Linked DNA regions of Canis lupus familiaris. The protein of the gene in region 4 interacts with the protein of the main gene of each other region in a pairwise test. Links are inferred from orthologs where the notes say so. Each region holds a gene or a part of one and is shown on either strand. Other genes may lie near its edges.

Evidence for each region.
Region 1: the proteins of HMG20A (region 4) and RPP30 interact in binary tests that used the Homo sapiens proteins (3 or more experiments, as listed by UniProt). The two-hybrid records come from large-scale screens. The link is inferred for Canis lupus familiaris from reciprocal best matches to the Homo sapiens genes HMG20A and RPP30.
Region 2: the proteins of HMG20A (region 4) and SCNM1 interact in binary tests that used the Homo sapiens proteins (3 or more experiments, as listed by UniProt). The two-hybrid records come from large-scale screens. The link is inferred for Canis lupus familiaris from reciprocal best matches to the Homo sapiens genes HMG20A and SCNM1.
Region 3: the proteins of HMG20A (region 4) and HPCAL1 interact in binary tests that used the Homo sapiens proteins (3 or more experiments, as listed by UniProt). The two-hybrid records come from large-scale screens. The link is inferred for Canis lupus familiaris from reciprocal best matches to the Homo sapiens genes HMG20A and HPCAL1.
Region 5: the proteins of HMG20A (region 4) and DTNB interact in binary tests that used the Homo sapiens proteins (3 or more experiments, as listed by UniProt). The two-hybrid records come from large-scale screens. The link is inferred for Canis lupus familiaris from reciprocal best matches to the Homo sapiens genes HMG20A and DTNB.

The regions. Positions count from the first base shown.
Region 1 is NC_049249.1:5,715,158-5,721,117, reverse strand, and holds the start of RPP30 (ribonuclease P protein subunit p30), read right to left. Parts: upstream 3,906-5,960; 5' UTR 3,534-3,905; coding exon 3,452-3,533; intron 2,119-3,451; coding exon 2,063-2,118; intron 1,279-2,062; coding exon 1,222-1,278; intron 823-1,221; coding exon 748-822; intron 1-747. UniProt on the Homo sapiens protein: Component of ribonuclease P, a ribonucleoprotein complex that generates mature tRNA molecules by cleaving their 5'-ends. Also a component of the MRP ribonuclease complex, which cleaves pre-rRNA sequences.
Region 2 is NC_049238.1:60,886,757-60,892,855, forward strand, and holds SCNM1 (sodium channel modifier 1), read left to right. Parts: upstream 1-2,194; 5' UTR 2,195-2,338; coding exon 2,339-2,389; intron 2,390-2,600; coding exon 2,601-2,671; intron 2,672-2,904; coding exon 2,905-2,993; intron 2,994-3,068; coding exon 3,069-3,166; intron 3,167-3,287; coding exon 3,288-3,376; intron 3,377-4,013; coding exon 4,014-4,208; coding exon of another isoform or gene 4,209-4,352; coding exon 4,353-4,452; 3' UTR 4,453-4,513; downstream 4,514-6,099. Other genes in the region: LYSMD1 (lysM and putative peptidoglycan-binding domain-containing protein 1), read right to left, coding at 1,279-1,458; TMOD4 (tropomodulin-4), read right to left, coding at 4,191-4,354, 5,702-5,846. UniProt on the Homo sapiens protein: As a component of the minor spliceosome, involved in the splicing of U12-type introns in pre-mRNAs. Plays a role in the regulation of primary cilia length and Hedgehog signaling.
Region 3 is NC_049238.1:7,250,603-7,256,699, reverse strand, and holds the start of HPCAL1 (hippocalcin-like protein 1), read right to left. Parts: upstream 3,906-6,097; 5' UTR 3,614-3,905; intron 1-3,613. UniProt on the Homo sapiens protein: May be involved in the calcium-dependent regulation of rhodopsin phosphorylation.
Region 4 is NC_049251.1:39,351,592-39,357,597, forward strand, and holds the start of HMG20A (high mobility group protein 20A), read right to left. Parts: upstream 3,774-6,006; 5' UTR 3,562-3,773; coding exon of another isoform or gene 2,723-3,561; intron 1,694-2,722; coding exon of another isoform or gene 1,632-1,693; intron 1-1,631. Other genes in the region: synaptojanin-1-like, read left to right, coding at 1,632-1,693, 2,723-3,561, 5,693-5,781. UniProt on the Homo sapiens protein: Plays a role in neuronal differentiation as chromatin-associated protein. Acts as inhibitor of HMG20B. Overcomes the repressive effects of the neuronal silencer REST and induces the activation of neuronal-specific genes.
Region 5 is NC_049238.1:19,926,567-19,932,648, reverse strand, and holds the start of DTNB (dystrobrevin beta), read left to right. Parts: upstream 1-2,177; 5' UTR 2,178-2,195; intron 2,196-3,398; exon of another isoform or gene 3,399-3,728; intron 3,729-4,059; exon of another isoform or gene 4,060-4,176; intron 4,177-4,741; exon of another isoform or gene 4,742-4,821; intron 4,822-6,082.

The DNA.
Region 1 (5,960 bases), on a different chromosome or scaffold from region 4:
CCTCCCACCAAGCCTCTCAAATCCCCGCAACCCCTCTGATCCATTTCCTATAATGCAAACACCATAATTTCACTCCTTCAGTTAAAACCTTCAAGGGTCTCCAATTGCTCACCCAGACCTACCTCCCCAACCTTGTTCCAGATTAGCCAGCTCAATAGGCTCAGCCCCATCGGTGTTGTTTCGTTTCCCAGAAAACACCAGGTTTTCCTTGGATCCAGGACCTGTGCATAATCCACTCTGTCTGTGGGAACACTCTCTCTTCTGCTCAGCACTTATACAACACTTACTGATTCTTCTGGCCCAGGTTGGAACATCAACTTCCTCAGGTGGGCCCCCTTGTTACACACTCCCAGAGCATCCTTTACTTATTACCCCCAACTATTTAAATATTCCTCACATTTTTAATTATCTGTTTAATGCTCGTTTTATCATTAAACGAACTTTGTAAGTTCAACAATTCTATCTCTATTATTCACAGCAATATCCCCAGGACCCACGTTACGCCTGGTTTCATGTGAGTTCAATGAGTAATAGTTGTCAAAGGACTCTTCAATTGTAGTATCCATATTAATGTGTCAATAGTAGAACAGACTGTTAAGCTATATGAATTCCGAAGAGAGGGAGAGTAGGCAGGTGTCATGCCTGGGGGCAGGGAATATAAGAAGGGGATAAGGTGAAAACACTGTTACAACCCTGTTCAACATTAACCAGTACAACTTACAAGGTCAAAAAGAAAAATTAACTTACCAAAACATTGCAGTGAGATGGATCCGAAACAATAATTGTCAGTCTAGTTAAAACTTTAATTGGTCTTGATTTTCCCTATAATCAAAAGCATTCCATCAAAAAAACTCAAAATACAAACAATCGATTTTCTTCTTTATCAGTGGAAAAGTGCTCACTGAAAGGCACCGGCAGTAAAGGGTAGTGACAATCAATAAAAACTACTCTTCATTCTCAAGGAATTTATAATATAATTGGCAAAATAAAAATATACATGTGTCAAACTACATAACAGGATTACTCAAAGGTTATGGGAACTTCAGGAAAGAAGATCGCCAAAGAAGTACTGAATTGATAGCAAAAGGAAGCTTCATGGAAGACCTGAGTCTTGTGGAAAAGTAAAACTGGTAGAGGAGGAAGAGTGCAGGGAAGAGAATCCTACATAAAATTGGACATTTCTGAATAGCTATTATGGTCCTTAAACAACAAGATACATACCTGTACCATTGGCAGAGTTGTAAAGAGTTCAGAAACAGCTACCGGTTTTTCAATTTCCTACAGTAAACAATGAACAGTCACCCTAGATTGTACATGCGAATGGAATGAAGCATAATGGAAAACTTACAAGGGGTTTTTGGAAAGTTAACTTCTGATATACAGAAACAGTAAATACTTTTTTTTTTTTTTTTAAAGGAAGAAAGCTGGACAGCCCCAGTGGCCCAGTGGTTTAGTGCTGCTTTCAGCCCAGGGTGTGATCCTGGAGACCCAGGATCGAGTCCCACGTCAGGCTCCCTGCATGAAGCCTGCTTCTCCCTCTACCTGTGTCTCTGCCTCTGTGTGTGTGTGTGTCTGTCATGAATAAATAAAATCTTAAAAAAATAAAAAATAAAAAGAAGCTGGAGAGCAGAGAAACAGCTAAGGACATCAATGGATATGTGGGGTGAAAAATAGCTTTTTGACTGAAATAATCTATAAGGTATAGTTGTTGGCCTGAAGATAAATACACATTTACAAGCATGTTTAAGAGGGAAATCAATTAGTAATGAGCCCATGTCAGTAAAATAAAAAGGACTAAATACTATAACTCAGTAACAATATACTTTTAAAAATTATTGAAAGTTATTTAATTAACATCAATTCAACTTTAAGAATCCTTCTACCACACCCTAATACTTCACAAAAAACTCTGCATTGGCTCAACTGTTAACATGTAAAATAATACAGTACACAAGAAAGTGTATTTAAGAAATATACTCATCTGCAGCTTCCATATTACCAATACGAATAAAAACAATTGTAAATTTTGGTTATTATTAACGTCAGAAATTGTTTTTTTTACCTGTTTCTTTTCCTTAAATTCAACAACATGATTGATGGCAACAACCGAATAGCCCACTGAAAAGAAAAATGGAACATTCTTGTTAAATATAACAACCTCTCTCTTGTACACATAGGCTCAACTCAGCTCAGGTCGAGAGCAGGGGTCTGTAGGGGCAGGGGCTGTGGGTTTGGACTGGTGTCAGACTTACCTCACACAACTGTCATGAGAAATAAATAAGGTAATAAGCATGGATGATTTAGAGCTGCACCTGGCACAGAGGCAGGGCTCTCTGACCTCTGTGATGTACTGTTAGCATGATACCTTTTTTCACTTGATCATTTCTTTTGCTTTTTACCCTTTCTACTTCCTTCAGAGGTACTTTTTCTAGGGAGAAATGGAGTAATTACTCCCTCACACCACTGCTCACTTCCCCTTCCCAGCTGCCCACCATCAGTAGATTGGGAACTCTGAGGTCAGGGCCTTGCTTTATCAGACTCTATACAGCATTAGTCTGGACACAAGGACTACCAAAAACATGTCTGAATCATGATTCCTATCTCTAAATTATTTAAACACCAATGGGAAGGACAAGGTACTGATATTAAAAGATAATGCATATTAATGCCAGAAGAGTGGTTTTTCCCTCTCCTCGGTTTGTCTGATTTCCTTCTTTCCTTCCTCCTTCAAATAGTTGTTGAGCATCCATTGCTTGCCATGCTCCACAGAAACCTCCTGATTTTTAAACTTCTCTATCCCCACACTTTGCAGAAGACAACAGTTATGATTAGCTCCAATAATTAAAACAGGGTCTTCTCTCTCCGGGCTTTTGCTTCCCTTGGATTCAAATGAGTAGCACTGCAGCATGGCGGCCTTGCTGTTCCCCTGCCACCCGCCTAGTACGTCTCTCCCCCCGCCCCACCTCCCGTTCTTAGATTATGCCCACAAGGTCACCCTCATGTCCCTCCGCCCCTTCTTTGAATTTCCACAGCATTCCCCGTCTGCGCCCAATTCCCCAAACTGCTCTGATACTACTGGGAGGCAGACAGAGGTGATACTAAAAGCACTGGTGTAGGAGATTTACACACTTGGAAGCCCTGGCTTCTGGCATCCTCTAGCCGTGGGGCTCTATGCAAATCTCCCATCCTGTCGGAGCCTCAGTTTTTTCAGTTTTCAGGGGGAGAAGACGATAATAGAACTGAACTAGGTAACAGCTCCCAAGTGCTTTCGAGTTTCCCGCGCCCGGGATCTAAGCAGCACCGCGGCAGCATCAGCTCGCGGGGACATATCCAAGATCCCAGGGGACCCGAACGAAGACAGGCCTTCGCGTCCCTCCTGAACGTGGCCTGATGGTCTGGGGGGCAGCGAGGCTGGGCAGGCACCGCGGCCCGCACAGCCGGGGAGACTCACGGTGAGCTGCGTTCTCCACCAGGCCGCGCAGCGCCTTTAGGTCGGAACCCGCTCGCAGGTCCAAATCCGCGAACACAGCCATGCTGAAATCCCAGGACCGTCGCGTATCCGTCTGCGCAGCCGCGGGGCCCACCCCTCTGGCATGCTGGGAAGTGTAGTTTACTCGCTCGGTCCGCGCCTTCCTTCGCTTGACCAAGTAGTCACGTTAGGGTTCGGAGTCCTCGCTTGGCCTTCGGGTATCTGCAAAAGCTGGCGTGTTGAGATCCACAGCCTCACTTCAACCCTTCGTTGCCTTCTGAATGAGAATGTTGGGAACTCTCGGAGGCAGGCGTTCACGTCTCCCATCTTTCCTCCTAGACAATATTGTGGAAAGTGATTCCTTCGCGAACCGGCCACTTCTGCCAAGAGCTAGAAGCACTTTTGAAACAGACGTAAGAAACTCTTCTAATCCCCGCCTCCTAACGTCCATCCTGTTGTTTAAACTGGGCTTATCAGGAAGTGAGAGAACTGAGCAGGCGGGAGACCTCGGAGGGAGGGAGGGAGGGAGGGAGGGGCGGGTCCGCAGCTCGCGGCTCTGGCTTCGGTCGGGATCTTCAGCCTCGAGATGGCAGGACCCTGGGAAGAGCCGAGAGCTCCGGCGCTGCCTGAGCAGGACAGGTTCGGCAGGGGACGGGCAAAATGGAAAGGTGTCAGTTTTGCCATCTGACAATCCCACACATTTGGCGTTTCCATATTTTTGCGCCTTATTTAAATGAACTCTTGAAGATTGATAAATGATCCGACAACGTAAGATTGTGGACCTACAGTGTGCATCGGTGCTTCTCAAGCTGCGACGAAGGGCCTGTCTCCCCTCCAGCCCATCCTACCGTACCCTGTCCCGCCTCCAGTTCTTCGCAGGCTCGTACGTGGTCCCTTGTACATTACGGGGTAAGCATCTCGGGGCCTCTTAAAACTGATTTGACAACAACCGAATTGCCCTCTCTACTCAGTGAAGAAGAAAAGTACATTGATTGGGGGCTTAGATACCCAGACAATTCCAAAGTGATGTAAACGTTTCTAAACAGTTTCAATTTCTGTACATAGATGGTCTCTGGTATATCGACCACACCTTGATTACACCTTCTTTACATGATTTCTTTCCTGATTTCGGAATGGAATTTTAAGAGGGCTCTGTTCCATGGGGTAGCATGCACTTCTCCTTTTGGTTAAACTTAACAAAGAAGAAATATTTTTGCTTTTTCTAATACTTGATATTTCCTAAGTAAGAACAGAGGAATTTTTTACTTCTGCAAAGAGAACAAGGTCATGCAAAGCAAATTCTTCTTTTCATCAGAAAATCTAGTGTTAATTTTGCAGGATCATACAGGCATCTTCACCTATGACCACAAAAGCTAGATTGGTCAGAAATGTGACCAATGTGTGGTGAAGGCGAGTAAGATAACTGATTCTTTGATGTCAGCATTAGATTAGAGAGGGCTTCTTTCTTGAAAAGTCATGGTGCTCTTGCTGTAAACTATACCATTTAGATTTCTTTTCTCATCTTCACCCCGGGGCTTAGGGGTAAAGAAGAAGAGATAGGAGGAGAAAGAAGATGAATAGGTAAGAGTCACTGAACACTTTACTGAGGGACATTTAATTTGGACAATTTGGTAAGTACTTACTTAGATATCTTATTTAATTTTCAAAGCAACTGTGAGTTAAGTACTGTTTTTTTTTTTTTTTTGCCTTTTTTTTTTTTTAAACAACATCTGCATTTTACATCTGAGAAATATATGTCTCAGGTAATAGTGATAGAAGAAGTACAGGAGGATCCGGGCAGTTTGGCTCAGTTTTCCTTTCTTGTACAATTTCCTGCACAAAGCAAGCAGGGACGAGAGTTAGAGGTTGTGAAGGGAGGAGGGAGAGAAGAGGAGGGGAAGGAAGAAGAAAATGGTGGGCTAGAGGGGAAAGAAGAGAGGAGGTAGAGAAGGATGTGGAAGAGGAGCAGGAGCATTGGGAAGAGGGATAAATAGTATGGGATAGTGACAGCAGAAAAAAATGGGAAGAAGGGTCAGAGGTTACCCTGCAAGGAAAGCTGAAGCAGCAAGGCTCTGGAGTTTGAAAGAGACCCTGAAAATTTCTGCCTGGAAAATAATAGGACTGCACAATTATTCTATGTACTTTGTATCCATTATCTCATTTATCCGTTTTATATCCACTTTGTATCCATTATCTGATTAATCATCACAACCAGACAATGAGGGAGAGAGATATTGTTATCCCTGTTATATCTAAGGTCAGAGAAGATGGATGGCTCTTGAGTCATTTTCTCTTCCTTGGGGAATTTAGAAAGAAAGGGTGGCTTGTGGCACCCAAAGCAACCTTTGAGCCCTTCTTGGTCTCCCCAAAGGCCTGTCTTTCTTGAGCTGATCCCCAAAAGTCAGCGTGTGTTCAGCTAATCTTCTACCTCTTTTCATTTGGTTCTCCTTTTGTGAGCACTCCACGGGGCTGCTGTCCTCTGGCAGCTTAT
Region 2 (6,099 bases), on a different chromosome or scaffold from region 4:
GTAAATCTTTTTAAAAATGTCGGTTAAAAAAATAACTTAAAAATAAAAAGAGGGATGCCTGGGTGGCTCAGTGGCTGAGTGTCTGCCTTTGGCTCAAGGTGTGATCCTGGGGTCCCGGGATGGAGTCCCACACCAGGCTCCTGGCAGGGAGCCTGCTTCTCCCTCTGCATATGTCTCTGCCTCTCTCTCGGTGTCTCAGGAATAAATAAAATCTTAAAAATAAAATTAAAAAAATAAAAAATAAAAATAAATGTTGGCTAAATTTGACAGGATATGGGAAAAAATTAATCAGTTTCAATGCAATGTATTTTTTACAGCTATCAAATATACCCCATGCACAGCCTGAAATGCCTGGTGTAGAGTATCTTTTTCGCACCATAGAGGCCACCCTACGGAAAGAAGGTAGAGCACTGAGGAGTAAAAAAGAACTAGAAGAGACAGACTTTAAAAACTTAGAACTAGGGTGGCTTAGTTGATTAAGAGTATCTGTTTTGCACCATGGAGGCCACCCTACGGAAAGAAGGCAGAGCACTGAGGAGTAAAAAAGAACTAGAAGAGACAGACTTTAAAAACTTAGAACTAGGGTGGCTTAGTTGATTAAGCAACAGACTCTTGAATTCAGCTAAGGTCCTGGGATGGATGTGGGGCTCCATGCTTGCCTGCCAGTCTGCTTGGGATTTTCCCCACCTTCTTCCCCTCTCCTTCCCCCTCTTCCAAAAATAAATACATAAATCTTTGGGGAAAAAAAAAAAAAACCCAACAACTTAGATCTAGAGTGGTTAGAGCACTGGTCTCACAAAGAACCTTAGAAACCAACTCTCCACTGTTTGCTGTAAATGTTTAATCACTTGCAATTAAAAAGTTTCCATGTGGTTAATATTACGAGCTTTGGAGTCAGATCTGTTTGAATTCCCACTCTAATGCTCATTGGTTATTTGACCTTGGTCAAATTGGTTAACCAATCTAAGTCTGTTTCTTCATCTGTAAACAAACGTATGCTTGACGGGGATGGGAGAACCAAATGGGCCAATGTATGTAAAACCTCTAGAATAGAGACTGGCATAAATAGAAGCAGCTCCTCTCCACCCGGATAGTGGCACAGGGTCTGTCCCAACCAGACAAGGCAACACTGAGATGGGAGAACAAAAAGATAAAGGTGGGTCAGACCACAACACAATTAGGAAATTTCAGGGGAAGTTGCCTAGCCGGGTCATTACATTCTAATGAGGAATAATCTCTTCTGAGTGGTTGTCTGCATCCCTACCATGGAAGACTCACCGTCACCCCGTATTTCAGTGCGAGTCCAGCCAGGGTGTCTCCGGGGGCCAGCTGATGCTCCAGGCGTCTTTCCCTCACCGGGGAGCAGGCTGACTGCACCAGGCTTCCGTAAGAACGAGCCCGGCTCCCCTGTAGCAGTCCTGACCCCCCGAGGGGGGCCTGTCTAGAGGACGAAGCCATCTCCTCACCCCGCCGGCAGCTGGGGTTGCAAGTGAGGGAGGCCTGGCTAAGTGCCGACAGCCACGGGGCTGGGGGCGAGGGACGTCTATCCAGGGGGTTCCTTTCCCCCGTCTCCTCTCACAAACCCCCGTCTGCCCCGGCACTTCGCGCCCCCGCGGCTCTCGTTTGTCCCGCTTCCCAGGCGCCTTCCCACGAATCTGTATCCCGAGGATCCAGTCCCTACCAGAGTCTCTCCTTATTAGCACCCCGCTGACTTTCAACCCTCCCACCACTATGAACTCTGACCTTTGAACCGTAGTTACCCTCCACACTCCGCTCAGCTCGCCCCTCTCCCCCAGGTCAGGCAGCCTCCGCCTCCCAGGTTCCCTTCACACCCCGGCCCCGCCTCGTCCCGGGTTGGTCGGCTTGTGTCAGGAATAAATCCAGCCCCCTCCTGGTGGGCTGTCGGCGGCCAGGGAGGCGCGTGAGGACCGCGAGAGTTTGTACTACACGTTCCACTCAGAGATCTTCCAAGGCCCGCTCCTCAGCAAATCCGTCACGGCCTCAACGTCGGTCTCCACATTTAAGTTCTTGTCTCCCCAGACGCCTCGAATCAGCCAAGATGCAAGGGCCGGGAGCCAGCTGGGTGGCAAGCCCTTTGAAAAAAAGACTTCATTTCCCAAAACGCCCCGCGCCTGCGGGGTCGCCGGGTCGCGTGGGCAGTGCGGTCGGCTCCGCAGGCTGTGGGCGGGCTTTCCGCGAGCGCTGTGCATCTAGGGAAGTAAGGAGGCCAACCGGAAAGAAACCCGACGGGAGAAGACGCCTTACTCTCGCTACGGTGGCCTGAGAGGAGTGGCCGAGGCGGCTCGGGAGAATTGTTCGCTTCTGGAGCTCAGTCGTAATGTCTTTCAAGAGGGAAGGGGATGATTCGAGTCAACTCAATGTGCTCAAAGTAAGCGCGAGAGGGGAGCATCGGGAACAGTTTCACTGCCCCGTGAAGGAGCTGTTTTGTTGCTCTGGCAACAGCTGCGGGGCCGGCGCGACCAGAGCTGGGTAGTGACCCCTTCTTCGCCCAGTGATCTCTGTTCTCATGGTCCTTTTTGCCTTTCAATCTTTGACCCCTCCCTCCTCTCCCACTGGTCCCGTCCGGCTACCCCCTGCAGAAACGGAGAGTCGGGGACCTGCTGGCCAGTTATATCCCAGAGGATGAAGCGCTCATGCTACGGGATGGACGGTGAGGGCGAGGGGTGATCAAGCCCGAGGGTGCTGCGGTTATAGGCTTCGTATAATTTTGTTATCAAGGGGGGAGCGGGAGTATCTAGGATTTTCTGATGGGGGATGAGGGACAGGGATGTGGGTGGTGGAAATTGGGAGACCCTAGAGTTTGGTTTTGGAAAGGGTTGCTAGGTCCAGGTGGAACCAGACCCCACTCACCTGGCACCGAATATCTTCTACCCTCCTCTCCAGCTTCGCTTGTGCTATCTGTCCCCACCGACCTGTACTGGACACCCTGGCCATGCTGACTGCCCACCGTGCAGGCAAGAAACATCTGTCCAGTAAGTGAGGGAAGACAAATCTCTGCAGATCACTCTTGCGGTTTTGTTTTTAATTCTCTTCCCCTCTACCTTCAGGCCTGCAGCTTTTCTATGGCAAGAAGCAGCCAGTAAAGGGAATGGAGCAGAATCCAAGACAGCAGAATGAATTGAGGCAGTCAGAGATCAAGGCTGAGGTAGGTAATCAGGGAGGGGAGGGTGTGTTTTGGGTGGGCCTGCTGCACATCTTAGGCTTGAAGGGCTTCGACTTCTTTCTAGCTCTGAAGACACTGACTGTGTTTCCCATCTCCACACCAGGCTCCTCTGTTAACGCAGACCCGACTTACCACCCAGAGTGCTCTGCACAGAGCTCCTCACTATAACAGTTGCTGCCGCAGGAAGCACAGGTCTGTGGGGTGGGAAAGCCAGAGGTAGGGCGGGTCAGAGGAGATAGATGGCTCTAAGATAAAGGTATTACAAATTGTATTCTCAGGAATATTAATACTCCAGAGATGTTTACTGATATTTCAGAAAAAAAAGAGAATGTTGCTTTTTTTTTTTTTTTTTAAGTTTAGGAAACGGCACTTTGGTTTTTGTTCTAAAGATTTTACTGATTTATTCATGAGAGACAGAGAGAGGCAGAGACATAGGCAGAGGGAGAAGCAGGCTCCCTGTGGAGAGCCCAATGCAGGATTCAATCCCAGGACCCCGGGATCATGACCTGAGCCGAAGGCAGACACTCAACCACTGAGTCACCCAGGTGCCCCAGGAAATGGCACTTTGTGATCCTACTTGAAGAGTAGTAATATTAATATATTCGAAGGGCTCTACAAAGTCTAAAGATTAAAAAAAAAAAACCCTCAAAATGTTATACTAGCCTTTTAAAAATTCATATGATTCCAAAATTCTTTTTTTTATGCAAGACATTTACTAATATCTTGAGGAACACAGTTTAGGAAACACTTCTGTAAGGGATTGGGAGTCATAGGAGAATTGGCCTTTTTCCTTTACTACTTTTATAGACGTTGATTCTTCTCTACCTAGACCAGAAACCCCTCGTCCCTCTGTCTCCCATCCCCCTTTACCACCCCCAGAGGTTGAGCCTGAGAGTGGGAAGATCACTAAGGAACCCATGCCTGGAGCTGGCCCACAGGCCAAGGAGTCAGCAACTGTCTCATCCCCTGTGCCCATGAGCCCCACGAGGAAACGAGCCCTGGATCATTACCTCACCCTTCGAAGGTTTGTATGCAGAATCACTTTCTTCAAGTTTTCTCTTTTCTTTCTGAGTTTTCTTATTTCAATCCTTCTCAATTGTTTTTCTCTTATCCCCATTAACTTCTTAAACCTCTTTTCCTGATTTATTCTATTTTCTGTTATTTGCAGCTCTGGATGGATCCCAGATGGACAAGGTCGATGGGTAAAAGATGAGAATGTTGAGTTTGACTCTGATGAAGAGGAACCTCCTGACCTTTCCTTAGACTGATACCCTCTTTTCCCCCTCAGTTCACAAATAAATTTCAGCAGGCTCCAGGAGTCTAACTTTCTTCAAGTCTACTTCCTTGCCCCATTTCAGGATTTCACTGGTGGATTTTTTTTTTTTTTTTTAAGTAGGCTACACACCCAATGTGGAGCCCAATGTAGAGCTTGAACTCATGACCCTGAGATCAAGACCTGAGCTGAGATCAAGAGTCAAACTCTGATTAACCAACCAAGCCACCCATTTCAGGTGTCCCCCATTTCAGGACAGCCAGGCCCATTCTTCCCTGAAATGTACACAGCTCCCCATACTTCTGACCCCTCCCCCACCTTCAACCAAAGTACTGCCAAGCGTCAGCTGCATGCAGCCCAATGCCCTATTAATAAGTCTGTCAGAAGGAGGTCTTTGCCCTTCATGTTGTCTGCCTTCTTTTTTTTTTTTTTTTTTTTTTTTGTTGTCTGCCTTCTTCCCCACCTTCACTCAAAGTTCTTTCCTCCTTCAGATCACATGAAGTTGTAGTTAGACACCAGGGGCCCTACCCGTATCTGAAAAGAGGGCTGGGGTAGTAGGTACCCTGTGAGAGCAGAAGGGACTAACTGCATTGGCAGGGCCACAGGGAACACCAAGGGAGGGAGCTGCCCCACCTCTGCCTAGTAACTTGAACCTCCCTGCCTGCTGATCCCCAGAGTATAAATAATCCCCTGATGAACTGGCAGTAACCCTTGGGGGTTAGCGCCAAGATTCCCACCCCAAAGCCCGAGGAAAGAGGGAGGCAGGCAGAGTGGACAGAAGGGCCTTTATTTACAGGAAAGGGGAGAGAGAAGGATTTAGGTATTCAGGGCTCCCAGCTCTAGTTGGTAAAGGGAAAAGGTAGCGTTATCTCTTTTTTTGCTGGCGGCCTATAACAGGAAAGAGGAAACACAAGTCTTTGTTTTATCTCTTTGCTTCCTGCAAAGGTACTCATCTTCCCCTTTCCAGTTCCTTGGCCAGACTCAAAGAGGTAATGCCTTAGGCCAGCAAGCATACCCACCCCACATGGCAAGTAAAAATGCCATGCCCACAAACAGGTATGTCTGGCTTCTTTTCCACCTTTCTGCAGGTATAATTTGGGGCAGGAGACTTTTCTACTTTCTCACAGGGTTTAAACTTCTCATGTGAATACTGCTTTGGCAGCCCACAGGCCATTAGTCACTAAGCTTTCAGATTCACTACCTATTTGCCCTTTCCGCCACACAACAAGTTTGTATTTACTCACGTAGTTCATTGTTCCGGGTCATGGCCTGGGCTGCCCGAGCTCGTGGCCCCTGCTGTGTAAAGTGGTAGCCAAAGCGGACAATGGAGGGACACTGTTCGAGAACGGTGGCCATCTCCATCTCCACTGCATCACCAGGCCACTGGCGCTGGGGGAAGGAGAGATGAGACCTGTCAGCCACGCTCTCTGCCTGGTTCATTGTCCCACACCACCAACCCTTTGGGAGGTCAAAGAAGCTTGTTTCATCAGAGTGGGTGATGAGAAGTGCTGACTTGGCTCCCTTCATAGAGACCATGAAGAGGAGAATTCAGACAAAATTAGATGAGATCCTGACCCAAGGGCTGCTCCAGAAAAGAGATTCAGTGAGTATTACCTGAATGCAAAGACCAGAGGAAGGTAAT
Region 3 (6,097 bases), on a different chromosome or scaffold from region 4:
CAGGGCTCTCCTAAAGGATTTACTGTGCTTTCCTGATGATGGAAAAAAAAAAAAATTCTTTAGACTTGCACCTTGCTCATCAGTGCCTAAGAAATTGTTCACCTGTCAAACTGTATCGATTACCAGAAGTTACATTAAAACCCATGTCACCAGATTCCATTCTTTGTTGTTGTTGTTTGGTACCAAGTGATTTGAAAGAAACATTTTTCCCCATGGAGCAAGAATCACCAAGATGGCCCCTAAGCCATCTATCTCCATACACCACGACCTGTTGTCCCCTGATTAGAAACTCAACCCCAAAGGAAGAGAACAAAAGCCACGTGAGATGCACAGATGCACAGCCCTACACATGGGCATGAAAACACCAAAGAAACCCACTGAGACTGTGGGAGGATAGTGAATCCCAAAGTAGACAGAGCATGATTAAAGTTTACAAGTGCCCTCCCTCCACATACAATGACATCCAGGGCTGACAAACTAGCAAAATACACATAATCCCCCATCAGGCCTGGGCCAGCGACTCACAAATTAGAAGCATTATCCCATAACAAACAAGCTTGGTTTCAGGCTTGCTGGAATGCTAAATTCTAACACAAACCTGATCCTGATCTAGATAAAATTTCAGCTGCCAAATAGCTTACTCTCCGGTGCCAAATAAACTCTGGGGCTCCTTGGTAGTATCAGGGATTAACACTGGTTCCTAAGTGACCTGGGCACTTCACCACTTATGAGTGGCAATACTAGGTCTTAGAAGAAGTATAAGGAAGGACGGTAGGCATAAGGGGGAGACAGACTGCCTCACACACAAATACACAATAGGGTATTTTCTGCGAAAAGGCAACCCTAGGAACCATGCATGTGGAGCCCCAAAGGCAGTGGGTCTGAGCCCAGAAAGACAGCACTACTGCTTTACCATGATGAAACTCCAGAGCAGCTCCAGGTAGAGACAGAGCTCGGTAAGGAGGAGGCCTGGATGGGGACTGTATGCAGAGGTGAGTCCACTCCTGTCACTCAACAGCTTGTATTTCTAATTCTGCACAACCCAGTGGCCAGAAAGGGGCATTAAGATAAATTCTGAAGGAATTAGTCCAAGCTCCTTTATATCTCAGAGTTTCCCTCTAGAAGGCTTATTGGAAATGAATGGATCACTGGCTAGGGTTTGGGCAAATCTCTGTTCTTCTGGGGTTTTGACCTGTTGTGTCTCCACAAGTCTGAGCTTCCAGGCATCTGATTCCCAATGCCAGGTGTCCCAAGTTATTATCACACATTCACATCTATTTTCCACCTTATGAAAAGCATCAAAGTGGAACCCAAAGGGAGCAGGCAAGGCTACAACGCACCACATCCCACGGCAAGTGAGAGCCAGAGCCCCTGGGCCTTCCCTCTGGCACATTATCCAATAAAACCTCAAGAGCTCAGTAATTACAGGCGCTCTCAAAAGTGAAACAGAAATAGATCTAGGGCCAAAACACTGCTTTGCTTGAGACAAAGGGCTGGTTTTAAGCAGGAAAATACAAAACAACAACGACAACAACAAATACCCCAGCTTTTGATCTGTCTTCTGAGCTGACGAAGCCAGCCTGATTTTTTTTTCAATATTATTCAATCTGATTATGGGAAAGAGAGTAGGATTCAGATGAAAAGCCCTTTTCTCCTCTTGGATATAAAATCATCTTATGAAACAGAAAAAGCAGCTTGCATTCTAAGTGTGCCCTGACACCAAATCGGATGAAAATTTGGCTTATCCAGGTCCCCTGATCCCCTGGCCTGCCATTACCACTGAGGCCTCAGCAGAAGGTGCTGGTAAAGACAGACCAAGCAAGAGGTTTCTGCTCCTGTGTCATCAAAGCCTGCAAAGGATTCCAGCTCCCTGAGCACACCCACCGGGAGCAGGTGATCCCAGGAAATGCATCCCACGCCTCCGCACAGCCCAGTTGATGATCTCCATGCCCCCAGCCCCATCCCATGCAGATGCTCCATTTTGAGAGCAGCACGCACCATGAGGTCCACAGCTCTCTTGGTGAAAGGTTATTTGTGTTTCCGACTGGGAAGGGTCCTGAGAGGAAGAAAAAAACCACAGCGAGGGAGGGAAGGAATCACCAGCTTTGGCAGAAGGCAGCAGGGCAGCCAGGGCCAGCTGGCCCCGCTGGGTCTGAGCAAGCGATATGCTGCGGTTGGCAGGACTCTCCCTGAGAGTGAATCGTGCTTAGAGGGTGCGCACATTCACTGCAGTTCAATGTTACACGGCCGTAGGCTTCAAACTAAATATTTTAAAAATTAAGGTGTAGGACTGACTAGGAGGAAGGATCCCACTGGCCCTTGGCCTCCTCTGCGCGAGGCTGATCCAACAGAGCCGCAGTTGGATGGGTGGGGGTAGGGTCAGAGGGTGTCCAGCGCCAGGCCCCAATGCAGGACTGGCGGTTCTGGCAAACACCCCCCTCCAGGGGGAATCGGCGTTGGCCGGGAGCGGAGGGGATGCCTTCTGCTTGACCGGGCGGCCGGGATGCCCTGGGAGCCCAAGGTCCGTCTCTGCGGGGAGCGCCACTTTCACGCCCTTGCCGCCAGACTCCGCGAGCTGCAAGCCCCAGGGACTAGGCACTTGTTGAACAAAAAGGCTCCCGATTCCAGCAGCCGCCGCCGCAGTTGGCCAGGAGAGGGACCCCCAGCTCGGGCGCCGGAGCCTTCGCGGCTGGGCGCTGCGCGCTCCTGCAGACCCGAGGCGGCGCCGCCCGGGAGGTGCGCAGAGCTGGCGGCGCACCCGGCAGCCCAAACTTTCTCGAATCTCGGTGCTTCGCGGTTAAGTTAGGGCCGTGAGGGAGGCACACAACATTCGCGGGAGGGGGCTGTAATAGCACCACCCACGATAAAGAGGGGAAAAAAGGATTAAAAAAGAGACACTCTTTGACACTAATGCAATTAACTTACGCACCTACTGTGTGCCAAGCGCTGGGCCAAGCGCTATCTTTAGCGCGTTCTCGTTTTAAATGTCATGAGAGACCCCGAGGGAGAGAAGCAAACCTCAACCAGAGAAGGTGGCGTGCCTGGCTCAGGTCGCAGTGCGGGTCACGGCGAGGCCAGGGCTCCTAACTGCGGAGCAGGGCTCGGCCGTCGCCCCTGGGCCTAGTGAGCAGGGAGAGGATGGCCGCCGCCCCCTACCCTGGCGGGAGCGCACCTGCCACCCACGTGGGCTGCGGGACCTGCCCCCCGGCGGGGCGAACCCAGGCTGCCCAGAGGCCCGCGCTAGCTCCCCGGGATCCGGGGAGGGGGGGGTGGCCTGAAGCTCCGCACTGCGCCGGCCGGCGGGGGCCAGAGGGCTCCGCAGGCAGGGCTGGCCCGCCCACGCCCACCCCGCCACCCGCGCCCCACGCGCAGCCGCTCACACCAGCAACTGCGCCCCGACACACAATTCCACAAACGCAGCCCAAAATGTGCACACCCACTGTACACACGGATCCCCACTAGGACACGCCATTCCGGGGACACAGCACCGTCCGCGGTCATCCACAACTCCACGACGCAGACAGAGGCACCCCAACACACGCGCGCGCGCACACGCAGAGAGCCGGGTCGCAGCTCACGCCGGTGCACACGCCCGCACTCCCCGCAGCCCTACCTGCTCCGGCGCAGGACGCGGTCCGCCGGCTTCCCGAGCCCAAGTTCGGCGCGGCTGGCGCTGGGGCGGGCGCGGGCCGCTGCCCGGGACGAGCGCGCCGAGGCCGGGAGGGGTGGCTAGGAGCGCGGGCCTCCGAGCGCCCGCAGCCTCCGCGCCGGCCCTGCGCTCATCGCCTCCCAGAAAGACAAAAGGAAGCCGGCGGCGAGGGAGCGAGCGAGGTGGAGGCGCCCGCCCGTCCGCCGGCCCGCCCGTCCGCCGCCTGCAGCCGCCGCGGCCCGCCTGCCAGCGCCGGGAAGGAAGGGACTCGAAGGCGGGACCCGGAGGCGGGGGCCGGGGGCGGGGCGTGCGGCGGGGCCGGCGCTCGAGTTCCCTGCGGCCCCGCCCCCGCCAGGCCCCGCCCCGCCAGGCCCCGCCCCCGGGCTCGGCCCCGCCCACCTGCCTGCGTGGGTCGCGCCCCCGGCCCTGGCCACGCCCCTCCCGGCCCCGGGGTGCGGGCTTCCGAGCCTGCTCCCCGCTGCACCCTCCGCCCCGCCCGGGCCCCAGCCCGGTCCCGGTCCCGGGCGGATCTCGGGGCCGGAGCGGAGCCGAGCACCGGTGCCGCCTCCCTAACCCTTGGCCTCTGGCCTGCGGGCGTGGGAGAGGCGGGGAGGCGGCACCGGGAGGGGCCAGCTCCGCGCCCCCCCTCCCCGGCCTCTGCAGGAAGTGCGGCCCGGGTGGCCCAGAAAGGGAAGAGGCCGGAGTCGCCCCAGGCTGTCTCCCAGCGCCCTCTGGCACCCTCACCGCCAGTCCCCTGCGCAGACACGCCCTACCAACCGCGCCTGCCTCTTTCGGGGAAGGAGCGGAGGACCGGGAGGAGGGACGCCTGAGTTCCAGTTCTGCTTGCCTTTGCCAATTCTGGGCGATTTCAGCAAGTCCCTGAGGCTCCCGCGGCCTTGGTTTCCCCACCTATAAAATGCACAGGCGGCGGAGCAGGCTTCTTCCGGGGCCCTTCCCTCCCTCACGGGCTGCGGGTCCTTGGTTGACATCCTGGTCCCAGACACAGGCGGCCTGGGTGGCAGGGAGAGACAAACCTGTGTTTCCTGTAGACTTCCTCTGTCCCCCTCCGAAGGCACCTCCCTGAGGGAAGGAATGAGGGACTGTGCTTCCCAGAACCCCTCGCCCCAGTAGCTCCTGAAAATCTGGGCCCTGGAAAAAGCAAATATATACACACACCCACCACTACCACCACCCACCCACCCCAAACATCCCCGAAGAAAGGTAACCACAGAAACAGCCCTGAATGTGGAGCTGGGCGTTAGTGTTAGGCTGAGACAGACTGTCTTTCTGGCGTCTCTAGGGGAAAACTCAAATCCTCCTGCAAATCCTCCTCCACAAAAACACGGTGAGTGAACTCCCACTACACAGGAGGCTGCAGGGAGCAATGCTGGTGGGTGGCTTGAGAGGGGGAGCTCTGCTGGCTGGCAAGGTGGTCTGAGCCCAGACCCCTCTCTCAGCAAGCAAATGGCAAAGGCAACCCCAGAGGGAGTTAGTCTCCTAGGCAGCCCTGCTGTGGGGATTAAATACAATAATGACTGTGAGCGCCCGCGTCACCCGTCACCGTCACCGGTATGGGGCTGTGGTGATGTCACACAGAGCAGCTCTGGTACCCAGGGGCAGCACCCTTTTTTCTCAGCAGACCAGGGGCCAGGGTCATTGAGCAGGTTTCCCTGAGTATGTCGGTGCAGAGGGTGGGGTTACAGGTGAGAGGCCCCCAGCCACGTGTCAAGCCCAGGCCCATCAGCAGGGGGACTGCAGATACTGGGTTGATTGGCATAGGCTAGTGCTGCTGGGGTCACGCGTAAGACCCACTTCTCACTCAGGCTGCGGTTCAGGGCTAAGTCAGAGGGCTCGGGGAAGACTCCTCGGGGAACACTCCCGATGTTCAGGAACTCCAGCCGCTTCCATCTGGAGATTCCACCAGAATCTCTCCCATCTAGAGATTCTTCCCTCAGGGCTTCTGAGGTCTCCCCCAACCCCTTGACTCCCAGCCAGCCACAAGGGAGGGGATAGTGCGAGCTGGGGGTCTCCGGGTGGGGGTGGGAGGTCACTGCGAGCCAGGCCTGGAGGAGGCACACATCACATGGGTCCGCAGTCAATGACCAGAACTGGTGCCACCGGGCTGCAAGGGGTCCGGCAATCACAGCCTTCCTCTGTGCCCAGGAGGAAACGGTCATTTGGGTGAGCACATCACAGTGTCTCTGCCACAGATTCAGAGCACGGGTCTCCCCAGCCCAGTCACAGGGCAACAGACACACATCCATATAGGGCATGATAACACCGTCATCGAGGACTGCGCTATAGCTCGCCGTGCCCCCTCTCCCCGCCGCAAAATCAGCTCATGGGGGAGAGGGTCAGGAATGGTTCACAGAGCAGGTGACGGTTTCACTGGGTCTTGAAATATAAGGAGGAGGGGAAAGCTCAGTAGATCCCGAGCGAGGCAGGTAG
Region 4 (6,006 bases):
GCCTTTCTAAAGAAACACTTTTTAAAGATTTAAAGAAAATAAAAGCCAGGCTCCATGGACTTGCTCTCTGTTTTTCACAGGCTTTTCTAATATTTCTTCTTTGATGGGACCAATGAAAAACTGCCACTTGTCACAAAATGTCTTCTTTCAGATATGTGGTGTATATATTACTTTCTTCAGAACAGACAGTTCTGCAAGCTGCTTGTCTTTCAGCTGCAGCAAATTTTCTTCTGTTACACTGCAATTCTTCCATGGAATAGCATAAAGACCCAATTAAAAAAAACTCCTTTGCTCTCTAGTTTCCTAAAAGCAATACTACTGTATCTCAATCAATATTTAAACTACATTTTCTCTATCTTTTTCATTTAAAAGTTCCACGATCTTTGCTTACTGCAGTAATTCCTAATACTATAGTTTAATTTGTCAGGGTGATCGTATCACATTTTCTTTTATACTTTAATAATATGGAAGACAGTGAACACTTTCTGTCCAATCAATTAATTAATACTTGCTTGAGGCAGTCTACATGTCCCTAACCTTCAATTAATAATAACATAGACATTATCGTGTCTTGCCTTTTCAATTACTGCAGAAATTCTGTAGTCTTTCAAAGGATAACTCACTGATTTTAGGGTCTTAGATTTTTTTCCCCCAATGTTTACATAAGGTTAAAACATGTATTTTTTCCCTTACTGTAATATTTAGTTTAAAACACATTTTTTCAGGGATCCCTGGGTGGCTCAGCGGTTTAGCGTCTGCCTTCGGCCCAGGGCATGCGTGATCCTGGAGATCCGGGATTGAGTCCCACACTGGGTTCCTTGCAAGGAGCCTGCTTGTCCCTCTGTCTGTGTCTCTGCTTCTGCTTCTTTTTTTTTTTTTTTAATTATTTATTTATTTATGATAGTCACAAAGAGAGAGAGAGAGAGAGAGGCAGAGACACAGGCAGAGGGAGAAGCAGGCTCCATGCACCGGGAGCCCGACGTGGGATTCGATCCCGGGTCTCCCGGATCCCGCCCTGGGCCAAAGGCAGGCGCCAAACCGATGCGCCACCCAGGGATCCCTCTGCTTCTGCTTCTGTCTCTCTGCCTCTCATGAATTAAAACAAACAAAGAACCCCACATTTTTCTAATAAATAATAATGGCTTTTTCAAAGAACTAGAATTAAGACAATTGCAAATTCAGAGGATAGAATAGGTAACAAATCCCAAAGGAAAAAACAAAACGAAACATGGGCCTTATGCTTTTAAAAATCCTTTAAAGACCTTACAGTTTACTTGATATTCTAAAATCACTACAAAAAAAATTAAAATAAAATCACTACAGTTGAGATTTCATAGGCTCCAAACGGATGGATTCCATTAGTACAAACACACACACCTGTGATACTTGAAAGGAGAAGACAAGAAAAATTGAGTGTTTATTACCACTTTACACATTGCTTCTTATAATAAAACACTGACAACACAGGAAAAAAAAAAAAAAAAGTCCTGTCTTACCCATCTTCTGTCCTCCGTGAGCCAAATGCCCTGCTTGCTTAAAACCTGAGTACCATGATCTCCGCAGCATGGTTTGCAAACAGAAAGGGCAGATACCAGGTTTTCATCGGGGCTGAAATTACTTAAATTACAAAGGTGGAGGGGGCGGGGGAATGTATCGACCTACAGCTGTCCCAGGAGCTCCGTGACAGGGACAGGTAAGAATTTTCAGGCCTGAGGAAGTAAGTGGTTTTCAGCTACAAGGCGAAAGCTGCCGCCTAAAATCAACAGGTGTAGGAGCCGAAGAGCACTCGGTATGGGTTAAGGGGACACCAAAGGCTTCACCCCTGCCAGGTGAAGATGCCTCCCCGCTCTGAGCCAACGCGAGAGTCCTGGGGGCAGGCGTGGGGCCGGCGGTCGAAGAGGCTGGGACACTTGCCTCGGGCCGGGACACCTGCTTCCGGCTGGGGCCAGGACACCTGCCTTGGGCTGGGACACCTGGCTTGGGCCGGGACACCTGGCTTGGGCCGGGACACCTGCCTCTGGCTGGGACACCTGTTTGGGCCAGGACACCTGGCTCAGGCTGGGACATCTGCTTCAGGCTCGGGCTGGGACACCTGGCCCCAGCCGAGGCACCTGGCTCCAGCTGGCTCAGGCTGGGACACTTGCCTTGGGCTTGGGCCGGGACACCTGCTTCGGGCTGGGACACCTGCTTCGGGCTCGGGCCAGGACACCTGCCTCTGGCTGGGACTCCTGCTTGGGCCAGGACACCTGGCTCAGGCCGGGACACCTGCTTGGGCCAGGACACCTGGCTCAGGCCGGGACACCTGTTTGGGCCAGGACACCTGGCTCAGGCTGGGACACCTGCTTCAGGCTCGGGCTGGGACACCTGGCCCCAGCCGAGGGACCTGGCTCCAGCTGGCTCAGGCTGGGACACTTGCCTCGGGCTTGGGCCGGGACACCTGCTTCGGGCTGGGGCCAGGACACTTGCCTCGGGCTGGGACACCTAGCTTGGGCCGGGACACCTGCTTCGGGCTCGGGCCAGGACACCTGCCTCCGGCTGGGACACCTGCTTGGGCCAGGACACCTGGCTCAGGCCGGGACACCTGCTTCAGGCTCGGGCTGGGACACCTGGCCCCAGCCGAGGCACCTGGCTCCGGCTGGGACACTTGCCTCGGGCTTGGGCCGGGACACCTGCTTCGGGCTGGGGCCAGGACACCTGGCTCAGGCTGGGGCACCTGCTTCAGGCTCGGGCTGGGACACCTGGCTCTGGCCGAGACACCTGCTTCGGGCTCGGGCCGGGACACCTGCCTCCGGCTGGGACACCTGGCTCGGGCCGGGGGCACGGAGGGCGCGCGGACGTGCCGGAGCCGAGGGGGTCTAACAGCGCCCTGCGAACACCTGGGGGAGGAGCTGTTCCCTCCTAACGCGGGGAGACAGAGCTCCCGGATCCGGGCGGGAGGCGGCGGGCGGCGGGCGGCGGGCGACGAGCCACGAGCCACGAGCCACGAGCCACCGCCGACCCTCCCGCGGCGCACACGCCCCCAACCTCAGGACGCCGCGCCCGCCGCGCCGCGCGCACCACGCCCCCGCCCCCACCGGAAGCGGCTCCGGCCGCCCCTCCCCCACCGGAAGTGGGGCGCCCCCGTTCGGGCGGCCTCAAGCCGAGCCGAACCGGCCACAACGGCCAAAGGAGACGGCGTTGGGGGGGCGCGGGGCCGCTCGGCCGTGGCCACCCCGCAGCCCGCCCTGCTTACCGGCCTGCTGGCGGCAGGGGCAGGCGGGGACGGGGCCCGCAGAGGCCCCCGCACGGAGGACAGTCCCCTGAGCCCCTCTCGGTCGCCTGCACTCCGCTCGCTGCGGCGTCTCGCGGCGGGGGAAATTCCTCCGCAGCACTTTCTTTCGCTATCTTTCCTTTCCCTTCGCCCGGCCGCTGAGCCACCTCCCCCGACGCAGCCTTCCTTGTCGCGATGGCGTTTAGAATTGCTCCGGCGAGGAGGAAAAGGGACTATTACCCCCCGTACCTTGAGAAAAACGAAGGGATTATTTTGTTCCAATGCGGCGAGGGACTACGTGATGACGCAAGGTGAGGCCGGCTTTCGCGGAGCTTCCTGGGAGATGTAGTTTTTGACGTCGCTAAGGCCTGCAGAAAGGACTCGGTAATTACGGGATGCTGGGGGCCCTTGGAAACACGTGTTTTGCACTCGACGGCAGGCTGGCCAGGGGGCTTCGGCACCGAAAGGGCGAACGACCTGCCGCCCTTTCCGTCTGGGACGGAGCGGAACCCGAATTTCCCTTGGCTTTAGCCCAAGGGCCCGGTCGTCCCGCCCTCTTCCCTCGGCCACGCCCCCGCCGGTCAGTCTGGAGCCCTCATAGGCTGATGGTCCGGAGGTGGGCGGGGCCCCGCGGTGGCCCCTCCCCCGGGCCCGGGGCGAGCCCGGGGAGACGGCCGAGCGGGGGCTCGTGCGCGTGCGCGTGCTCGCTCCGCGGGGAGCCGCGGCGGGTGCGCGCGGAGGGGCGGCGCGCGGGCCGGGAGGAGGCGGGCGCGCGGGCTGGTGGGCCGGGCGGGCGGCGGGCGGCGGGCGGCGGGAGCGCGCGGCAGGCTCGGCAGGCTCGGCGGCGGCCAGTAGTTAGTTACTTGTTAGTGTCAGTTGCTCGGCGGCGGCGGCCGCGGTCACCGGGCGGGGGACGGGCCGGCCGGCGATGGTGGTCGCCCCAGCGGCACGCGCGCCTTCCAGGTAACGGGGCCAGGGCTGCCCGCGTCCCCTCGGTCCCCTCCCCGGCGCCGGCCGGCCCGGGGGGCGAGCGCTGCCCCGGCGGAGCCCGGGCGGGGCGCGCGGGGTCGTGGGGCGGCGCCACGGGGGCGCAGGCGGCCGGTGCGTCCTGCCCGGTGCGGGCTGTGCGGCCGCCCCGAGCCCCGCCGCCCCCTGCAGCCCCCCCGACCCCCCTGCACTCCTCCCCGGGGCCCCGCCGCTCCCCTGCAACGCCCCCCCCCCCGCTGCCCTCCCCGCCGTCCTTCCCCCGTCCCCCTCTGCACCCCCCGCCGCCGTCCCGAGCCCCGTCCCCCCCTGCAGCCCTCCCCGCCGCCCCCTGCACCCTCCTCGCCTCTCCCCTGCACCTTCCCGCCGCCCCCCTGCACCCTCCCCGCCGCCCCCCTGCACCCCTCCCCGCCGCCCCCCTGCACCCCCTGCACCCTCCCCGCCGGCCCCCCGCCCCCCTCCCCGCCGTCCCGAGCCCCGCCGCCCCCCCCCTCCGCCGCCCGGAGCCCCGCCCCGGAGCTCCCCCCGCCCCCCGGCGAGGACGGCCGCCCCGGTCGCCCGGCGCCCCCCAGAGGAGGGAAAGTTGGAGCTGGCGCAGGGGCGCCCCCGGGCGCGGCGGGGCTGCCGCTGGGGAAAGTGCAGCTGCGGGGGCTGGACGCGGGCGCTGCTGCGTGTCGGCGGCCCCGCTCGGCCCCGGAGGCTCCCCCGCCCGCCCGCTCTCCTGCGGGCCGCGGCGGCTGGTCTCGTCCCTCGGTCGCCCGCGGGCTCCTGGGTCGGGGCTACTTTGCGACCCGCGGGCGGGAGGGCGGGCAGCCCCCTCCCCCCTCCCTCCCCTCCCCTCCCCTCCCCCCCCCCCCCCCCCCCCCCCCCGCCCCGGCCGGCCGAGGGCACGACTTCGGTGTCGGCCCCAGCGCTGCCCCGGACGCGCGTGGAGGCGCGGAGCCGGCCTCGTGGTGGCGGCCTCGCCCCTGGAGCCCGGCACGCCCGGCCCGCTCGCGGATCGGGGACTTCCACCCGGGCCGCCGACCTGGGCGCCTGCTGCGGGCCGCGCCCGCCCTCCCCCTCCCCCGCGGGGACCCCGACGCGCCCCCCGGCTCCGGCTCCGGCCCCCGGCGTCCGCGGACACTCGCGCGGCGCCCCGCCCCCCCCCCAGCCCCCCTCGGCGCCCGCGGCGGGCGCTCCCGGCAGGTGGGGCCGCCCCCGGCCCAGGCCCCCGCCCGGGGACTCCGGCGAGCGGGAGCAGGGTGCCTGCCATTGCCGGGGAGCTGGGCCATGACCAATTCACCAAGTATGCGAAAAACAAACCTCTTTCCGTAGCTGTCAGAAGGGGAAATATTTTATCATGTCTTTATTTTGGAGACTGTAGCTTGATTATATTACATGGGGGGGAAAAGCCTCAAGCCCTTTTCCTTGAGGCTGGTGATGTGTGGTCCTTTCCATCCCCTCTCTGCCATTTAGGAGCTGGTATTTCTGTTTGGCTGGGTCCCAGTAGGGGAAGAAAATATTTGGGCGAAAGGACAAGAGAAGATTGCTTCGAGCTGTTATGATGAGTATTCACTTTACCCAGTGATAGTGCAGAGAAAAACTTCCTTGCTGATGTTTGGGCCCCATTAACATTCTGTCAGAATCCATTTTTAAGAGTCTACCCTGAGGCCCATAAAGAAGTAATGCCACTTTATAGCTGTTTCTGACAATCACATTAAAAAATGTGTTCCTGGAATGCATTATATGTGTACTCATATAAACATTTATCTTTGTACATTTATGGTAAT
Region 5 (6,082 bases), on a different chromosome or scaffold from region 4:
GCTCAAGTTTTTCAAAAATGCTGCATCACTATTGCCTTGCTTTGCTCTTGAGAAGTCTGATGCCAGATATTTTCTTTCCCAGATTCCATAACAAACTATTTAGTTTGAAAAGTAATGGCTTAAAGTGAGAACTATTTTGGATATAATTTCACAATCTTTAGGGTCAGGAATTTGGGTGGGGTTTGGCTGGATTATTCTTCTGTTCTACATAGCTTTGACTGGGGTCACTGTGTGGTACCCCAGCTGATGGCTGATCTGATATAGAGCATTCATGATGACTTCACTCACATCAGCTAGAGTCAGCTAGTCTCTCTCCCTCTCTATGCTATCTCAGAGTCTCTCCACAGGGAGTTAGATTTTTAAAAAAGATTTATTTATTTTAGAGAGAGAGAGAGACAGCAGGAGTGGGAGGGGGAGAGGAAGAAGGAGAGAGAATCTCTTCATGCTGGAGTCCAAGAAGACTCCCCCTCTGAGCACAGAGCTGGAACAAGGCTCCATCCCAGGACCCTGAGATCATAACCTGAGCCGAAACCAAGAGTCAGATGCTTAACCAACTGTGCCACCCAGGTGCCCAGGGGAGTTAGATATTTCATATTGTGCCTCAGGGCTTCAAGAGCAAGTGTGCTCAAAGACCCAGTGGATTCTTCAAGACTTCTTATGAAGTCTTAGAAGTCCTGTATACTGGGGATCCCTGGGTGGCTCAGCAGTTTAGCGCCTGCCTTTGGCCCAGAGCGAGATCCTGGAGTCCCAGGATTGAGTCCCACGTTCGGCTCCCTGCATGGAGCCTGCTTCTTTCTCCTTCTGCCTCTCTCTCTCTCTCTCTCTCTGTCTCTCATGAATAAATAAATAAAATCTAAAAAAAAAAAAAAAGTCCTGTATACATCACACATTCTGCTGGTCAAGCAATTCTCTTGGGCCAGCCTGGATCAAAAGAAGGGACACAGAATCTGCAGACATCTTTAATGTACTGCAGCCTTAGTACATTAAGTAATTTGAACTTTTTGCATGGTGGCTTTGAAAACTATTATTTTTGTCTAATAGTTTTAAGAGGCTAGCTCTTAGAATCGATCACTCTGATGGTTTCCCCCAAGTACAAGGGGGCTCTCTCATTATGTAGGTTTACATTTTCTTATTTCAAGAAAATTTCATTATTTGTCCCATTATTTGGCATTCCAAACAGAGAGAGAAATAAGCACAAAGGTCTGCAGGCAAGGGAAAGGAGGAACATTCCAGGAGTTTGGATGGGATTTGTGTAGGAAGTGACAGAGAGGAAGTGGGGAGATAGACAAAGGATAGATGAATGGATGGTTTTGCGTGCCATGCTGAGCAGTGACATATGCAGGCAGCATATTCTGGGAAGTGTTTTCTGACATGCAGTATAGAATATGGAATGAAAGGAACGAGACCACAGGAGAGGGACAGGATCAAAGCTATTACGTTAGTCTAGGTGAGAGGCTTAGCCATGAGGGACAGATTCTAGAGTTCTTAATGAGGAGAATCAACATGATTGTTGAGTGTGGTGGGGACGGGAAGGGAGGAATCCAGGATGACTCTCAGGTTTCTGAACTGGGCAACTGAGTGGACAGTAATGCAGAACAGTTTTAGACACATAGGGCTTGGGGTGGCTGGAGGACATCTAGGGGAAGAGGTCCAGAAGGTGTTTGTCTGTGGAACTCAGATGAGTGGTCTGAGCCAGTAATGCATTTGAGAGTTGCTGGTATATGTGATGGATGAAGACAGGGAGGGGGTGGAATGGCTTCAGGAGATTGTGTAGGGTGAACCGAACACTGAGAACAGAACTTGGGAGACTCAGGAGTGGTCAGCAGGGTGAGGAGGTGAGTCATGTCATGAAGGCCAAGGGAGTTTCCAAAAGAGTGGAGTGCTTTGTGTTGCCAAGTGCCACCAAGAGCCCAGTGATATGAGGACTCAGATACAGCCTGTGACATTTGGGATTCAGCAAGCCCTTAACGATGGATTGGTGCAGGGATGTGGTGGGGACAGAAGTTACATTGTGTGGGTTGACGAGGGAGAAGCTGCTGAGTTGGCAGAGATGAGTGCAAACTACTTTCAAGACATTTGTGAAGGGAAATAGAGAAAGGGAGCAAGCAGTAACTAGAACACAATGCAGAGGGACCGAGGGGTTTCTTGTTCTGAGGACAGGAAAAGCCTGACTATGGCAGATGGTGATGGAAAAGGTAAGAGGGTTTGATAATTTTGAGAGCTTGAGGTGGGGCGGGGGGCACGATCGAAATATGTCTGAAAGGAGTTTTCTGAGGATGTGGGAGGTAATGAGGTATGTATGATGCTCATAGAAGTGAACTTAATTCCCAGAATGGCTTATTATAGTCCAGCTCTGGTACTGAAATTACCTTGGTTTCAATCAATACGGCAAATATAGCAAACAATATCGACATATTTATTTTACATCATTTACACATCTTTTCTCCAAAGGGTAGGATCAATGTTTTACCCTTTCAAAGCCTCCCACATAGTTGGTGCTCAGTAAGTGGTAAATGAATAAACAAGATGTCTCTTGCCTGTATTCTGAGTATCTCAGCATATTCAGAACACAGTCAAGACCCTGCACACAAGCGAAAAAGCTTGAAAAAGCTTGCATGCTTAGAAGCATCCAAGAGTCCTAAAATCCATGTGTCAAAGTTGATGTCCTTTCCTTGAGGAACCTGTTTACCCTCACTTATTTCCTTCACCCTGGGAGTTTAAAAATAGGAAAATGAGAGGAGGAGGAAGAGGATGTTCTAAAGGCAGTCAGGCAGGCAGACAGCAGCAGGAGGTGGCACGATCTGCCTTACCATAAGGTGCCAAAAAGCAGTGAAAACCCAGGCGCACAGCATCCTGGCTTGGGGGCTCTTTGCTTAGGGACTTAACATCCCGCACTCACAGTGCAATTATCCTTAAAGGACACTGCTGATTTGAGCCGTAAGCAACTGTGAGAAGAACGATCCTCTGAACTATCGAGAAAAAGCTTAGCTGTTCTTATTTCGAATCATCTCCTACATTTCACACACTTTGGAAAGCATTCTGTCAAAAATGAATAATATTAAAACAAAAAAGCTGATGTCGAGATGGTAAATCTGGGTCCGGCTCCGTTCCCTCGCCCAAGCTGTTTACCCAGCCTTGGACGCCCTTTTTTTTTTTTTTTTTTTTTCTCCTCGGACGTGTTTCTTTCTCTTCCTTCCAGTCGGGACACAATTGCCACCTATTCCAGGAACCCCCTCCACTTGGTCCAAGCGGAAGTAATCTCTTCCTCCTCTGCCCTGCCATAGCATCTCCTTGTGGGCTTGGCTTTGCCTGGGTCACCAGCCCCGCCTGTTTACACGGCTGCTTTCGTACGAAATTATGCGCACCTCGAACCAGGGGCCGTGACCGCGACGGCGTACCTGCGCAGCACCTGGCAGCGAGCTAAGCGCGGAGCCGGCGCTCACGAAACGCTCGCTGGGTTGAACTTCATTTGGGAAGATCCCTCAGGGCAAGACCTCTCGCCGGAGGCGCGGATGAATGATTCATGGGGTGGTTCTTTGCATTCTTCACCTTCGAGTCACGGCGCGCACAGTGTCCAGCTGCCCCGGCACATACCTGTGGAATCGAAACGCACCTCCGCCGCCAGCGCGCGGGACCAGCCGGAAGGGGGCGGGTTTCACCCCTCCGCGTCCGCCAGTCGCGGGCCCGCTGGGGGGAGGGGAGGGACGGGGGAGCCGGGTCCCGCTCGGCCGCAGGGGGCGGGGCTCGGAGGGAGCTCGGCCCGCTCGCCCGCCCCCTCCTCTGCGAGGCGGAAGCCCCGCCCCCGGCCGCGCGCTCGCACAGGCGGCGCGCGCCCGCCCCCCGCCCCCCGCCCCGCGCCCCGCGCCCCGCGTCTCCGCGCCCCCGCGTCTCCGCGCCCCCGCGCCCCCGCGCCCCCGCGCCCCCGCGTCTCCGCGCCCCCGCGCCCCGCGCCCCCGCGCCCTCGCGCCCTCGCGCCCTCGCGCCGGGGGCGGGCTTGCTGCGCGTGCCGGGCGGGGAGACGGCGCGAGCCGGGCGCCTGAGAACGTCCGCCGCGGGGGCGGCTCCGGGGCCTGAGCGGGCTCCGCCGCCACCTCGGCCGCCGGGCCCGGGCCGCAGGAGGCGCAGGAGGCTGCGGCCGCCCGAGACCTTCGCGGCGTCCCCAGCTCCGGCCGGGAAGTGAGTGCGGCGGCGGCTCGCGGCGGCCGCGGGCTGCGGGAGGGCGGCGGGGTGGGCTGGAGCCTCGCGCCCGCGAGGAGCGGGAAGGAGCCTCCGGGCGGCGGGGGACGGACGGGGCTCGGGGAGCCGGGGCCGCTGCACCGCGAGCGCAGAGTCCGGGGCCGGCGCGGCTGGGCTCGGAGCCCCGGGCCGGGGAGGGGTCCCCGGGGTCCCGAGCGCACCGTGGCCGCGGGGCGCGGGGCCGGGCTGCGGGCGCCGGGCTGATGCTGCTGCTGGAGGAGGAGGCTGAGTTAGGTGCTGTGAGGGGCGAAGGAGGCAGGTCCTGGCAGAGGGCAGGTGAGGCAGTTAGGCCCTGGCAGAGGGAAGGGACTGTATCTCAGCTCGCCCCCAAGCACTGCTTGCGGAGGCGCCTAACCGTGCTGAACCCGTGCACCGAGGTCACCCTCGAAAAGAAGGTGTCCTGAGAGCAGGCGGGGTGGAGGTAACAGATGCTTGCCGTTGAATTCCTGTGCCAGGCCTTGGGATTAGGAAGACCTTCCAGCGCTCCTGGCCAACGTTTATCGATTAGCTACCTGGGGTAGAGAACCGCGGTCAGCAGCTGGGGCCACGAAATAGTGTAAAACACAGCCGTGATCTGCCGTGTAGGTAGGTGCTGACGATTTGGGAGCGAAGGTGTGTGCATGTGAAATACAAAGTAGCATTGAATTTCGTCTCACACTTTATTCACTTTAGGTCTTTTTTTGGGTCTTTTCCCAGTGTTGGGAAATTGGAGCTATAAATTGCTTGGTTTGGAGATAAAGCAGAAGAGTCAGAGGAGCTTGTGGGGGAAATTTGAGAGACTTCGAAGGCAGTTCTGCCTAACATTTAAAGGGGGGAGAAGGGAAGAAGAAATCTGGAAAGAGAAAAGAAGTTACCTTCCTTCCCTCCTAAAAAAAAAAAAAAAAAAAAAAAAAAAAATTTATTGGAGTTCAGTTCTCCTAAAATTAAGCTCCATGACTATAGCTGCTAAATCCTCAATGACAAGAACAGTGCCTGGCCCACAGCAGTCAGGTAAAAAATATTTATTGCGTGAACCAATGAACCAAGCAAGGCTTTGCTGTGTTTTACACGGAGCAGTATTAAATACTTAGATGTTAAGAATGGCTGATGGGATTCCCGAGATTCTTATTCTTATTCTTATTCTTATTCTTATTCTTATTCTTATTCTTATTCTTATTCTTTTCTTTTCTTTTCTTTTCTTTTCTTTCTTTTTCTCCTCCTTTTTTCTTTTCCCCTTTCTCTCTTCCTCTTCTTTTTTTTTAATATTTTGGTCACATAAGGTAACCCAGGTTTCTAGGTCTGGGTATTTATTTTTTATTTTTATTTATTTTAATTTTAATGTTTATTTCTTTTTATTTTTTTTATTGAAGTTCAGTTTGCCAACATATAGCATAACACCCAGTGCTCATCCCATCAAGTGCCCCCCTCAGTGCCCATCACCTAGTCACCCCATCCCCTCCCACCTCCCCTTCCACTACCCCTTGTTCTTTTCCCAGAGTTAGGTGTCTCTCATGTTCTGTCACCCTCTCTGATATTTCCCACTTGTTTTCTCACCTTTCCCCTTTAATTCCTTTCACTATTTTTTATATTCCCCAAATGAATGAGACCATATAATGTTTGTCCTTCTCCAACTGACTTACTTCACTCAGCATAATATCCTCCAGCTCCATCCACGTTGAAGCAAATGGTGGGTATTTGTCGGTTTTGATGGCTGAGTAATATTCCAGTTATATATTAGGTCTGGGGATTTAAAGCAGTGGCTGAGGAGTGGTGATTTCTTGTGGCCACCCTGCCACTTTCACATCTTTATTCCACGTTGGCCAGCAGGAGCTTAGTCCTTGGGTCATTCCTTCTAGCCATCCAATTC